Linked DNA regions of Ovis aries. The protein of the gene in region 3 purifies or fractionates together with the protein of the main gene of each other region. This does not show direct contact. Links are inferred from orthologs where the notes say so. Each region holds a gene or a part of one and is shown on either strand. Other genes may lie near its edges.

Region 1 (4,885 bases), on a different chromosome or scaffold from region 3:
TGTCACGGGAAAAATGAGGCTAATAAGATTATTCAGTTCATAAGGTTGTTGAGAGAATTAAGCAATTTATTTCTTGTAAAGTCCTTTGAATAGTCTGGCAAAGAAACAGCACAAGTGTATTTGATACTGTTATTATTGGTTGGTTCTGAATGTCAATTACTGCTTCATCATTATCAATTTATTTTGCTGTGTGTTGTTTGGGTAATGAATAAAACTTAATGCAAAATTTTATCAACAATATTTTTGAACCCTGACTTTTCCAGTAACTAGTCTTTAAAAACCTGTATGTGACTGATACATTTTAGACACAAATTATCACCTCCACTCATCCTCCAAAGCAGGTATGGACAAAAGTCCACTGTATTACCACCACCCTCAACCAATCTTGTGCAATGATATTTCATTGTTATTGTTGAGTTTGCTATAGAAAATAAAAAAGGATGAGGAAAGTGGGCCACTGAAGAGAGCCACTGAGCTAGGGGATTGGAAGCAAGCAAATCTAAAAATGAATTTCAAATCAATGAGTTTTGTTAGTTGTTCTGTTCTCAGAAAAATCACTTTTATTTACCCAAGTTAACATTTTGAAAACTGAAAGTCACTCAGTCGTGTCTGACTCTTTGCAACACCACAGACTATACAGTCCATGGAATTCTCCATGCCAGAGCACTGGAGTGGGTAGTCTTTCCCTTCTCCAGGGGATCTTTCCAATCCAGGGATCAAACCCAGGTCTCCTGCATTGCAGGCAGATTCTTTACCAGTTGAGCCATGAATTATATGTATTTTAATGATTCGCATTCGTCCATTGAATATTTAGATTTATAAAAGTGAGAAGTATAACGGCATAAGTCGGGCAGTCATAATTTTTTCATGTTTTCTTTTCCTTTATTTAAGAAATGGTTCTTGAGCGTCTGCTATACTCACGGAAATTTAAAACAAAGCAGGGCATTTTGGAAAGGTTGGTGCCTTAAAATGATTCTGCTAAAATGTGAAGGCGCTGCTTTTTATTACCAAATAATACATGTAATAAACATCCATGAGCCCCACTCCATCTCAGAGCTTTACCCCTAGAGGTGAGGAGAGGCTCAGGGAGGGGTGACACTTAAGGACTAGATGAAGTTCTTTGCAGATATTACTTGGTAATAAAAATGCTGAGCATTTATTGGTTACTTTTTTTAGGCTGCAAGGAAATGCCCTGGTGGAAAATATCTAAAGCAAACTGTCAAGTGTCCAGTTTTAAAACAGAGGACAATGCTTAGTGTACAATATTTTTGGCAGTATGATCCCCACTGTTCTCCAACTCACAGAAGCTTAAAACCTTGGCACTAGCAAAGGAAACTGCACCATAGCCTTTGTGATATGTGTTATCTGCAAACCCACCCTACAGATGAAAAAAAGGACCTTCCTCCTCATCATTATATTCATATACCCTTTAATGCTTTCTTCATGTATCTATCAATATCACCTTTTATGTGACAATGCTAAGCCACAGAGATATAAAAATGAATAACACATTCTGCCATTAACAGTCTGGCTCAATAGGCATTTATTGAGAGCTTCCCACATATTAACAACTGCAAAGGAATAGCATATACACATGTTATCTAGATTTCAGGGAGAGCTTTCTGAAGATACCAAAGTTAAATTTTAAGGAACTAGCAGGAGTTTCCTTGATGAAGTGGAGGGAGGGGAAGGACTTATCCAGGCCTATATCCAGAGTATGTGTGGGAGGCAGGAGCTGAAAAAACAGGCAAGAGCCAGAACATAACAGGCCTATACATCAAGCTAAGGAGTTTGGATTTTATTTTGAGGTGAATGGGCGACAACCGGAGGATTTTCAGACGAGGACTAACATGGACAGATGTTTTGTCATTGTCAGGCTCACCCAAGAGTGGACTTGGGTGACTGGAAGAAACCCAAGGCTTAAATGCTGACAAACCAGTTAGGAAGCTATTGCCCGTAATCTTGGTGAAGAATGATGGGAACATAAACCATGTCAGAGGCAGAGAGCATGGAGAGCAGAGACCTATTTGAAAAATAGTCTATAAATAGGCATGACAGGATTTGACTACTGGACATGCGGGGGTGAATTCCAGAGTTTCAGATTCCTCCCAGCCTCCTCCTTCCAGCTTAGGCAATTATTTGGCTAGTGATACTGATGAGTGCAGCAGGGCACATGAACGAAGCATACTGATTTTTTTTTTTTTAAAGGAAGGTTGGGGAGTCTGAGACCTGTGGGGCATCCAAGGGGAGTGGTGTATGAATCAGTTATAACTAGACTCTGCGCTTTCACGTTCAAGGCATTGACAAGACTACTCCATAAGCATGTGTATCTGGCACTCTCATTTCAAAAGAAACAAGGCTTACCGATTTGAAAAACGAATATTTTTCATGCTAACCCCCCAGACACACGCTGAAAATCTAAGAGTTTAGCATTAATAACAAAACATTATGTTCCCTGCTGTCAAAATGACACTGCAGATCAATGTATTTAATCTAGTAAGCCAAACGCAGGGTTGGATTGGTTTCCTCCTCACACCCCTAGAAAATAGCGGTGTACCTGGTGTTTAGATCCAGGAATTCCTTTTAGCAGGTTGGAAGAGCAAAAGCTGAGAAATGCGCCCTCCCGTGGCAATGGAATGAGGGGGCTCAAGTACCCTTTTTTTCACCAAACAAAGCCCTGTAAAGAAATGCAATTTGTGGGGATGAGAAGGCCACAAAGCTCGTACTGCTATACCGCAAAACCAAATGAACCCTCCCAGAGGCCGGGACCCCTTACCTGTCACGTCGGCCGAAGGACAATTTCTCTTTCTACTCAACAAAACACAACCCCAGACTTGACAGCTTGCAGTAAGTCCCGCCCGGCAACAATTAAACACCTTGCAAGCCAAAATGCGTACACAATCCGTAAGGTCTCCTGCCGGCAGGGCCGGGCTCGCACCACGTGGGTGGTTGGGGCCAGCAGGAGGCACCAGCCGAAGGCTGGAGTGGGAGGCGTGTTCTTACGGGGGAGGGCGGAGCCTTCGCAGTGGGCGGGGCTTAGGAGGACCTGGGCTACCAGCCGCCTCTCGCCTACTTTGCTCGTTTGCCTTCGCCCTTCGAGCCGCCACGTAATGCCACGTCGCCGCGCATGCGCATCTCAACTGGTGGCGGACGCTGTTTCCGGGCTTAGGGGGCTGGAGCGGCCGCCGAGTAGGCTGTGGCGGTGGCGGCCGGGGAGTGCAAAGTGCAGGCTTGGGGGTCGGGCCCTGCGGAGGACAGGGGAAGTTATCTCTTCTTTCCCGAAAAGGCCGGTAGAGCCCGTGGCTGAGCGGCAAGATGAATTTCCTCCGCGGGGTTATGGGGGGTCAGAGTGCCGGACCCCAGCACACAGAAGCCGAGACGGTGAGAGGAGCGGCGGGTCCGGGACTTGGGAAGGGTCCGGGCAGAAACCGGGACGGAGGACATAGGGGCCCGGAGGTCACCCCCCTGCGCGTCACCGTGGGCCGGGAGTCTACATGCCGCCTCCCCTTTTGCCCCCGTGCCTCTTTTCCTCTCCTGAAACCCGCAAGTTATTCCCTCACACCCGCAGCACAACCCCCAGCGCGGCGGCTTGGCCCTGCTGACAGCAGCCGCGCCCCGAAGCTCCACAGGCCGCTTGGTGGTGGTCCGCGGTGGTACCTCCGGGAAAGGCATCCATCCTGGGCAGAAGTGGCCTGACCTGCCTCCCACGCCCTTCGGGGCCGCGGGCCTGTCCCTCCCTTTTCGCCAGTGTCTTCACTGGCGGTGATTAACCTAAAGTCCACCTCCCTCGCAGTCTGGAATGGGGCTTTGAGGAAAACTGCAGGAAGGTTTAAACCCAGCAGTTGACCAGAGCAAGTGGCTAAGAATAATACGATAGTTTGGGTCACAAAGCCACCTGCCCCTGCCCATTCAACTAGAGGCAGGTCGTTCTTTCAGGTGTCATTAGTTCGGACCCCGTTTTTCAGCCTCGCCCACTATTTGGGAAATACTCGCTTGGTCGTTGTGGGGATCTTTGGCGCTCAAAATGCTTTGGGAACACGCGTCCCTTCCATTCTCCCCATTCAGAAGTCTGAACTCGTGTAAACAGGATTTGCAGCGTCACTTTAAAAAAATTGTTAGCTACTCAACACAATTTTTGATAAGTTGGTTCGATTTTAGGTTTAGGATAAATCTCGAAGTTTGGTTAGTGTCTGTTAGGAATAAGTGTATGACTTTTTTTTAACTATTGGTTTGAGAGTAATTTTAGGTCTACAAAAAAGTGACAAAGTATGGCATTGTAAAAGTAAACTGTGGTTAGTATTTGTAGACACTACTGGATTGTCTGTGAATGTTGATCCTATGTTCTGTGTTACTAGGATCCTGAAGGTTCAATGATAGCTTTCATTTGCCAGGTTCTTACCTTGTGCTGGGTTCTGTGTTCTTTGTAGTTTACATTCTTATTTTCCTTAGCTCCCCAACCACCTTGTAGGATAGGTGATAGTATCCTCACTTTACAAGTGAACACTTGAGGATTAGAGAGGTGAAGTCACTTGACCTAAGTCACACTAGTAGTAATGGAGCCAGGATTCAAACAAAGCTTGCCTTACGTCAAAGCCTAGACTTTATTGCTGATGTCTGTATTTTAATACATATCTGGGAATTTGGGGAATTTATGTGATTATTAAAATTAATGTCATCTGAGTTAGAACTGTTTAAAGCAGAAGCTGAAAGCTGGTGAATCTGCTTTCCTTCATTTGAAAATCAGGAGATTTCACACACGGTCATGTGCACACACATGCGCGCGCACATACACATACACATGCTCTCTCCAGGTTACCATAGTCACAGCCCACCTCTTCAGCTTTTGTTCATGTATGTTATATATCAGATATTTTTGTTTGAGGCA
Region 2 (4,874 bases), about 41 Mb from region 3:
AAAAAAAAAAAAAAACCATTGTATTTCAAGAACAAATTTACAGCTTAGTTTGAAGACATGATAACATTTAAAAGGGCACTCACTCTGATCTGGTCCACAATCTTCCTTATTTGGGGTTCAAATCCCATATCAAGCATTCTATCTGCTTCATCAAGGACAAGGTAGGTGGTTCTTCTTAGATTGGTTTTCCCACATTCTAAAAAGTCTATCAGTCTTCCAGGTGTTGCAATACAGATTTCCACACCTTTAATTAAACACACAAAAGTTACCATGACATCCAGAACTTCCTGCATGATCAGTGACAAATAAAACCTTTTTGGTTACATACCTCTCTCCAAATCACGTATTTGTGGTCCCTTGGGAGCACCACCATAAATGCAAGTAGACTTCAAGCGACATGCTCTACAGTATTCAGCAGCTACTTGCTGCACCTGTTGGGCCAGTTCCCGAGTAGGTGCCAGCACCAAGCACTAAGGAAAGAGAAAGTGGAACACCTTTAGGAGACCCCTGAATTCTAGTTTTGAAGTGCTAATTTACTGTTGCTACACTAGCAGATGATATACATTGTCAATACCCAAAGCAGCTTTGTCCCTTCCTACACTGAAAAACATAACCTTCCATATAAAACCACCAGAATTTTCTTTTGCTGTATATTCTACAAATCTCTACGCTGTTAACCAAGTTAAGAGAATACAATGTACACTTACAATAGGCCCATCACCTCTCTCTAGGAATGGTTGATGATTGATGTGGACAATGGCAGGCAGCAAATACTATACAAAAGAAAAGCAAACAAAAAAAGCCATATTAAAAACACTTCTGGTTTCTTTTAATTCCCAACCCATTTTTCTTCAGGACCTGTCACCTAACTCAAAGTTTCCCAAACTTACAGACAAAGTCTTCCCAGATCCAGTTTGTGCTACCCCAACCATATCCAATCCACTCAGAGCAACCGGCCATCCCTGAGCTTGAATAGCTGTGGGTTCAGTGAAGTTCTGCCTTGCAATCACATCCATGACATTTGCTGTAATGTTAAGAATTAAGTAAACGTCAATAATGCCATGAGAAAGGGATTTTTTTTTTTAAGGTGGGGAAAACTAGCACTTACCAGGGAAGTTTGCCTCATAAAAATTCAGGACTGGCTTTGGGCAGTTATGACCTCTAACTGTAATTTCCTTGCTTCTTCTGTATGTCTCCACCTCTTGCTACAAAAGAAATTTATAAAATTCAGTTATCTCACGAGGACTCCCCCTAACTAAACACACGACCAACACACCCCTAAGTTAATAATTATCAACATTAACATTCCTTTAAGTTTGCAAGACATTTCTAGTCAAACTTAAATGTCACTGAGTTACAAGCTGAAAAAACCACATGAAATTACTCACTGCTGTACGCCTAGCCAAATCGGGGTGTTCTTGATAAAAATTCTTCTCAAACTTGGGCAGCTCATCAAGATTCCACTTCTTTTTAACCAGTTTCTCTCCAGGGTTTCCAAACTTCTTTCCAGATAAGGGCCCTGCCCTACTACCTCCAAATCGAGGAGCACCAAACCTAAAATTTGAGGGGAAAAAAAATTGCATTTTCAAACATGTACAGACTTATTTTACCATCCCTGCGCACATGCTAAAACTCAATGAAAGATTCTGGAGATGCAAGTGCTGTCCTCAGTGATGGTCATTCTTTCAAAAGCCAGTTAGTACTACATCTCCCTCATTTCCCGTTACACGAAGTACACACCATTGAAAACAAATCAACAGCCCGGGATTTACTAGGTTGGAAACTGGCTGGCCAAGCTCTAGGAGTTCAGATACAAGGACAAACAACAGCTGGTGGATACTACTCTTTCACACAAGCGAAAGAATTAAATGCCAAAAAAAAATAAAGCAGAAGCTTAACACAGATGTTACTTAGCACCTGTCCTGAACCAAGAGCTCTGATTTTAATAGGTAGCGGAACAACACAGGTAAGTGAGTGCAGAACACGGCGGGTGGCTCGGGGACAGTTAGGCAAGCCAATCGAGTTGGGGGGATCCCTCAAAACGGTTTCCTACCAAGGTAGCAAAATTATATAACGAAAGGAAAACGAGGAGGAGGAGCCGGAGACTACCGGGGGAGGAGTCCCGGCCCGGGCGGAGTCCTTCGGGCGGCGTTCCCGCTGGGGCGGCGCTTCCCCCTTTGTCTCGCATTTCTCTCTGCGCCACATTTTCTCGACGCTGCCATTTTGAGCTCCTCCGCCGGGCGGGGTAACAAAGGCGCCGCCGCCATGTCCGCCGCCGGCATTTTGTACCCACGGCTCGGCCACATGGCCGATTCCCGCGGCACCGGCCACCCTCCAACCCTCGCCGCATTAACGGCTTCGGAGGCGGCCCCCTCGGCACCCACAGAACCCCCAGATTCCTTAAAATTCCTGTAAGCTTACACCTAATAGTGGCGACTTCGCCTCAAAGCGCTGCGCTTTCCTCCCCTCAAAAAATGTGCTCGAAATTCTCCGAACAGTTGCCAAATCATCAAGGCCCCGATACCCCCTCCAAAACAAAAAAGAATCTTGAGGACCGTTAACATGAAAAGTCCAGGTTTGGACAAATAACAAAATGGCGCAAGCCCTTTTCGATGGCGGAGGCCCGAGAATAGTCTTTAGAAGCCGAGTTGCCCCCGCCACCCCACCCCCGCAACCCTCATCGGTCTCCCATCCCCCACCCGCCGGGCCTGACAGGTCGGTTCCCACACTCACCCTCGATCCCGGCCACGGTCTCGGTCACTCGAATAACCCGACATGGCGTCAATGGTTGCGGTTGGCGGGAAGCGAAGCGGAGAGAATCGGGTGCGACGAGTCGCTGGAGGTGGCTCCGGCGACGGCAAAGCCTTGCGGGGGCGGCAGCGGCGGAGGGACGACGATGACAGAAGCCAAGGCTGCCCAACAAGAGACCGGTGGAAATGAATGAGGTGCCGGCCGCGTCCCGGCAGCCGGTTTTATAGCCTGGCCCGCCTCCTCCGCCGCAGAGAATGCTGGGAGCCGCTCTATGACCTAATCACTCCGCCCCTGCGCAGAGCTATTAACGCCTGCCGGCGTTCCGGGATCCGCCATTTTCTCGCCCCTCCCCCCGGGCCCTTTGCCGACTTTTCGCCCCTTTCAAGGATAGGACCCGCCCCCACCCCGCGGTCCTCCACTGGGATGCCTAAGCCTGCACTCTCTTGACTTCACCTTTTTCTGGTCTTTCACACTTCAGGGAAACCACTGCGCCCTTTTCCAGGTCTAGCCCAGACAATAAAATGTCCAGCCCAGGTCAACTCCCTCGGTCCCCTTGAAGATGTTTACGTCTCCAAAGAGCCTTTACACCCATTACTAGGGGCGACAGGAAGGCGGAGCCTGACATTGTCACGTGGCTGCCCCGCCCGCCGAGTGAGCGGGACGCACTACTTCCCCAGTTGGCGTCGGCGGAGGAGTACAAGACGAAATAGCTCACCGGAAGTGCCGTGCTAATGCCCTCGGGAAATCGGCCGGGGCTGTTGGGCGACCCGAACTGTCAAACCCACCCACCCCAGGACCCCTGAGCGGGGTCTGGCTGGTGAAAAATGGTATCTAGAGTTCGCAAACCGCCACCTCGGCACGTGCCGCCAAAGGAAGTACTCCCGCGGTGACCAATCAGCAGCGAGAAGCCGTTTTAACGTCCCTCCCTCCTTCACCGCACCCCTTCCCGGCACTTTCGTTTGCTTCCTCTCCTGTCAGCCCTGGGTCTGCGCCGTGCGGCCCTTTCAGGACGCCGTCCCGCGCGCGCCCGGCTAGGAGTCCGGCGGCGACTTGCCTCCGCGACATGGCCGGCTCAGAGGCTGGTGAGTCTCTGCGTGGAGCCCCGTTTGTGTGTGGGCTCAAGTACCTTTTCAGTCCAAGTCCTGAACGCCCCTCCCCATCTTATCTTGAGGCTTCGGGTGGGTGTGGGCTGCCGGCGGGGCTCGTGAGACAACCCGGTCGTAGTTGGCGGGTTCTCTGGCTGGGGCTTCTTAGTCCCGCTCCCTGGCGCATTCGAAGTTGTCGAGCCTGATTTGGGGCGGGGAGACAAGGGCCCTGCGGCGAGGCCCGCAGCACGCGAGCATGGTGGCTGTAAATGATCAGAAAGTGTCTTTCCCTAGACTAGTATTTTCTAGGGAGTGTGCCCTCTGCTCCTGCACTGCGGAGCCTGAGGCTGAGTATTAGCACTCTAAAAATCTATTGTCATCCCAAAGCGGAATAGTGGTGGATTTTCCCGCTTCAGAGCTTCCTACGGTTACCGGCTTTCTGTAGCGCAGTTTTTGAAAAGAGAGTTGATTGGGTTGTCTAGGACGCTTTCATCTTTTTTTCCAAGACAGCGTTCAAACCGGTTGTCATGGTTTGATCTGCTGTAAATAATGGGCACTGGGAGAGGGAGTTAAGGTGCCTTGACACGCCCTCACATACACATGTTTATTTCTGGAACATACTGAAGATAACGTGCACAATAAAAGAACTTGCCCCTTAATCGCCAATTATTTCAGGGAACAAGTGTTTCAGGTTTGCTACATTACCTTTGGTTGAGAAGCCCTTGAAATAATTTGGCTAATCCCAACGGAGGGGTGATACACAGGAAACTTCGATAGGGTTAGTAATGTGCTAGCTCTGAATTTAAAGGCGTTTTTATGAATTTCCCATGTCTGTTTTCATATACGTCAAGTGTAATTAAAAATAGAACTAACAAATCCAGTAGTGTTGGTGCCATTACTCTAGTTCTTCACAGGCTAGATTAATCACCACCTATTTGGGCAGCAGAGAAATTCCAACTTGCACAAGATAATTGGGTTAAAAACATGACTAATGCTATAGGGAGTTTGAAGCAACATCCATTAATTAGTTTCTAGTAG
Region 3 (4,101 bases):
GGTGATGAGGTGCAGGACAGGAAGGGACAACAGAGGGCAAAAGGACATGCTTCTTTGGGAAACTCCGGTCTGGGTGGAGACCTGCTGTGGGTTGCTTCCCTCAAGCACAGAAAATAACCAGAAGTCTGAGCATTCATCCCAACTCCCACACGGAGGCAGTGGAGGGGAATGAAATTCACTGACTTTGGCTTTTTTTTTTTTTTTAATCTACAGACCTGAATAGCTCTACAAAGAGTCATCAGAACTCCAAGATTTGAAGGCTACTTCGGAGAAGAAAGAAGCAGGCACCAGAGGCCTGAGGAATAACCCACAGGGGTTACAGATTATGTCCAGCAGGAAAGAGGCGCTTGTGACATTGACTCCCTGGAGACCCGCCCAGCCGCCTGGATCTACCAGGACCGAGGGGGGCATCCGGCTGGAGAGGCACCAGGAAGTGGGAGGCTTCCTGACCCACAAGGCAAACACCCCCACCCCTGTCCCTGGCCAACCCTGACTTCTCATGCCATCTGCCCAGCCTCCCGCCCTCCGCAGCTCCCCTCCCATCCCTTTGGCCCTGGGGGACCTAGGGCAACTCCCCAGGGGTCCCAGCTGCAGCACCCTCCCGGGGGGACCTGGGAAAGCACGTGGGCGGTTCGGCCGAGCATCCGTGGCCGGCCTACTTGGAGGAGCAGATGGAGAGCATGGCACCTGTGGAGAAGAGCCAGAAGGCGGGGTACACGGCCTCGGTGAAGTCCACCTTGTACTTGTACAACAGGTGGACCTTGTCAGCCGCGGCGAAGAAGAGCACGAAGCCGTGATCGCAGTTGAGAAGCACCCCCACCCGCGTGGCCTTGGTGGACGGCAGGGTTTTCTCCACGTTGTTGTGCCAGGCGGAGATCTTGGTGTTGAACCACTCCACACACCAGGACGCGCTGTTGCGGCCAAGCCGGCTCTCGGGGCCCTGCCGCTCCATGCTGCCGTAGCAGACGCCCACCCCGCAGAAGTTGTTCTTCTGAAGCTCCACCTCCCAGTAGTGAATCCCTTTCTTGTAGCAGTGCAGTCCCAGGACCTGCGAGCAGTATGTGAACCGCTGGGGATGCGGCCGGTAGTTCAGGGGCGTTTCCGCCACGGACGCGACGGTGTAGTTCTCGGACAGGGCCACCTTGCTGTGGGCGGTGTTGTAGTCCAGGACAACCTTAACCACATCTGAGGAAGCATCAAGGAGTCAATCAGAGGCGCTCCGAGCACTCCCACCTTGCCTCCTTTCTCTAGCTGGTAATATTTATTCATTTGTTCTTCCCATCCATTCAACCACCCTTCCAGCCCATTCATTCTGTCCAGCTCGTCAGACATCTGTCCACCTCTCTAACTGCCAATCAAGCCATCTGTGTGTCTATTAGTCACCCGTCTGTCTCTCTATTCCTCCACCCAAAACCACCTACGGAGCCCCTGGCTTATGCCAGGCTCTATACAGGACGCGCAGCCATGAACCAGATGCGGAGCCTGGCCTCGTGGAGTTCCCACTCCCAGAAGTAAGGCAAGCACATCAGCAGCGACAACAGTGAGGACTCCCTGCTCCACTGACGGGCAGGCACTCTGCTGGAGGGACACAGCCATGGGGGTAACGGGCCAAGGGAGGGGAGAGCACCGAGGAACACGTACTTCAGGGGTGGGCTGGAATCTGAGCCAAGCGAAAGGGAGATGAGAATTAAACAGGAGAGCAGGGGAGGGAGAAAGGCTGCGAGAGACAGTGAAGGCAAGCATGGAGTCACGAGGATGACGGACGTGCTGGGAACAGGGAAGCCGGGGCAGCTGGGAACACAGAGGCTGCAGCGAGAGAAGAGGGACCTCTGAAGCCACCAGTGCCGAGCCAAAGGGTCTCGACTTTAACTGGGGGCAGCGGGCAGTCAACTGAGGTCTGCCAAGCATAGCAATGACCTGAATAGAATCCTTGATTAGGACATAAGCCTGGCCTCCACCTCCTCCCTAGGATAGGTGCTCCTCCCTAGCCCTCCCTGCCCTTCCACTCACAGAGGACCCTGGACCAATGATAGAGAGCTGGGCAGACAGGGAAAATCCTGAGCTTAGAAATTTGGGAAGCTAGAGACCAGGGTTCTCTGCCACCCCCTGGCTCAGGGAAAGACACTTTGCACCTGGCCCTGGGCCTCCCCCAGGGCAAAATGAATGGCCTGGGAAAATGTCCTCTGAATACCCTAAGTCCCTAGAACTCCTTTCCTCTGCTTAAACAGCTGTACCGCAGAGTGCAGGGGTCTCCACAGACACGTGGCTCAGCACTGTCCCCAGCAGCCTGGCATCAATCACAGGGGTTGGGGGCAGGGGAGGCCTTTCCCAGCCAGGAAGCTCCAGGGAGGCCGGCCCTGATACCAGGTACCACAGTTCCAGCAACGGGTGAACCATGCCCACTGCACCAGAACCACGCCCACAGCTCCAGCAATGGGTGAGCCACGCCCACTGTGCCAGAACCACACCCACAGCTCCAGCAATGGGTGAGCCACGCCCACTGCGCCAGAACCACGCCCACAGCTCCAGCAATGGGTGAGCCACGCCCACTGCGCCAGAACCACACCCACAGCTCCAGCAAAGGGTGAGCCACGCCCACTGTGCCAGAACCACACCCACAGCTCCAGCAATGGGTGAGCCACGCCCACTGCGCCAGAACCACGCCCACAGCAGCTGTGGGAAAAGGAGGGCCAGAGCATACTTTGCAGAGAGAGGTTTCTGCCGCTGCAAGGAAGTGACCACCAGCGGAGGGTGCTCCGTGGGTGAAGCTATGGGTGGCCCGAGGCCTGGCCTGGAGGAAGGAACTGCCACCACTTCCAGGCTGGAAGCCACAGAGGAGCAGTAAGGGCACCCTCCAGGGGGCAGGCTGACCACGCCAGACAGAGGCAAGGACAAGCAAGGCAGCAGCTACTCACACTCCAGGAGCTCCGGCCTGGACTTGCTTAGGAAGTTCTCCAGCACCTTGGCGTTGAGAGATGCTGAGGTCGGTGGCACGGCAGGGGCTTTGGCTGCACCTGGAGGAGGAACAGAAAACCATTTCCTTGTCCAATGCATAAAATGAAAAGTGCTGCTTTTCACTCCTGCTCATTCCCGCTCCAAACAAATTCAGAGCATTCCACTGTCCACGGCCCACCAGAACTCACCCTCCTGGCCAGGTTGTTTGAGATTCACTAAGTGTTCCGAGGATCCAAAGGTGACAGGCTTGTTGAGTAAGGCAGAGGCTGGGATAAGGAAGACAGGTGAGTTGGGGAAACGACAGAGTGACCTGATGGCCTGGAACCCCTCCCACACTATTTCTCAAGAGCTGCCTCCACAAACACACACCTGGACCACCAGGGTGACATGAAAGAGTCCAGACAGGGGAACATGCATCATACTGGTCTCATGCATGTCCACTTATCCTCACGCCCAAGCCCAGACCCAGCGGCCAGCACAAGTCACAGTTATGGAGCCCATGCCCATCTCAGACCCTCCCCCAACACACACCAGCCCACAGCTCAGCTTTCCTTGCTGGCATTTAGTTCTGCACTTGGGTACTCAAGGAGCTAAAAGATGCAGAAATGCATAACTTACCAGGTTTCTTGGGCTTCTTCTCTTCTTCTGAAAAACAAAATTTTCAGAATTAAAATGTTTCAAAGCACAACACAACCATACTTTCAAACACCGTAATAATAATCGCTACATGAAGGTGACCCATACAAATAGAGCTAGTACATTTTACGTTGAAAAATATAAGGGGGTCAACAGGTAAATTAATCTACGGTCCTACATCATGGTTTTGGTGGTGAGGGGCTAATAAGGAACATGAATGGATTTCCTGGTGAAATGGAAATCTTTATCCCGATTTGCGTAATGGTAACACAGATGTATCGGAGAAGGCATAATGGTAACACAGATGTATCAGAGAAGGCAATGGCACTCCACTCCAGTACTCTTGCCTGGAAAATCCCACGGACGGAGGAGCCTGGTGGGCTACCATGGGGTCACTAAGAGTCAGACACGACTGGGCAACTTCACTTTCACTTTTCACTTTCATGCATTGGAGAAGGAAATGGCAACCCACTCCAGTGTTCTTGTCTGGAGAATCCCAGGGACAGGGGA

Evidence for each region. The genes of interacting proteins can lie anywhere in the genome.
Region 1: the proteins of TRIM25 (region 3) and G3BP2 purify together in Homo sapiens (affinity purification with mass spectrometry; 4 studies listed by BioGRID and IntAct, counting the BioPlex papers as one, with this or other methods). This does not show direct contact. The link is inferred for Ovis aries from reciprocal best matches to the Homo sapiens genes TRIM25 and G3BP2.
Region 2: the proteins of TRIM25 (region 3) and DDX5 purify together in Homo sapiens (affinity purification with western blotting; 3 studies listed by BioGRID, with this or other methods). This does not show direct contact. The link is inferred for Ovis aries from reciprocal best matches to the Homo sapiens genes TRIM25 and DDX5.

Annotation. Positions count from the first base shown.
Region 1 is NC_056059.1:91,313,320-91,318,204, forward strand, and holds the start of G3BP2 (ras GTPase-activating protein-binding protein 2), read right to left. Parts: upstream 2,948-4,885; 5' UTR 2,777-2,947; intron 2,678-2,776; 5' UTR 2,558-2,677; exon of another isoform or gene 1-2,557. Other genes in the region: USO1 (general vesicular transport factor p115), read left to right, coding at 3,316-3,381.
Region 2 is NC_056064.1:48,409,186-48,414,059, forward strand, and holds the start of DDX5 (probable ATP-dependent RNA helicase DDX5), read right to left. Parts: upstream 2,948-4,874; 5' UTR 2,778-2,947; coding exon 2,734-2,777; intron 1,555-2,733; coding exon 1,389-1,554; intron 1,206-1,388; coding exon 1,109-1,205; intron 1,025-1,108; coding exon 891-1,024; intron 774-890; coding exon 708-773; intron 471-707; coding exon 329-470; intron 245-328; coding exon 84-244; intron 1-83. Other genes in the region: CEP95 (centrosomal protein of 95 kDa), read left to right, coding at 3,815-3,833. UniProt on the Homo sapiens protein: Involved in the alternative regulation of pre-mRNA splicing; its RNA helicase activity is necessary for increasing tau exon 10 inclusion and occurs in a RBM4-dependent manner. Binds to the tau pre-mRNA in the stem-loop region downstream of exon 10.
Region 3 is NC_056064.1:7,414,340-7,418,440, forward strand, and holds part of TRIM25 (E3 ubiquitin/ISG15 ligase TRIM25), read right to left. Parts: intron 3,601-4,101; coding exon 3,574-3,600; intron 3,222-3,573; coding exon 3,144-3,221; intron 3,015-3,143; coding exon 2,916-3,014; intron 1,186-2,915; coding exon 656-1,185; 3' UTR 1-655.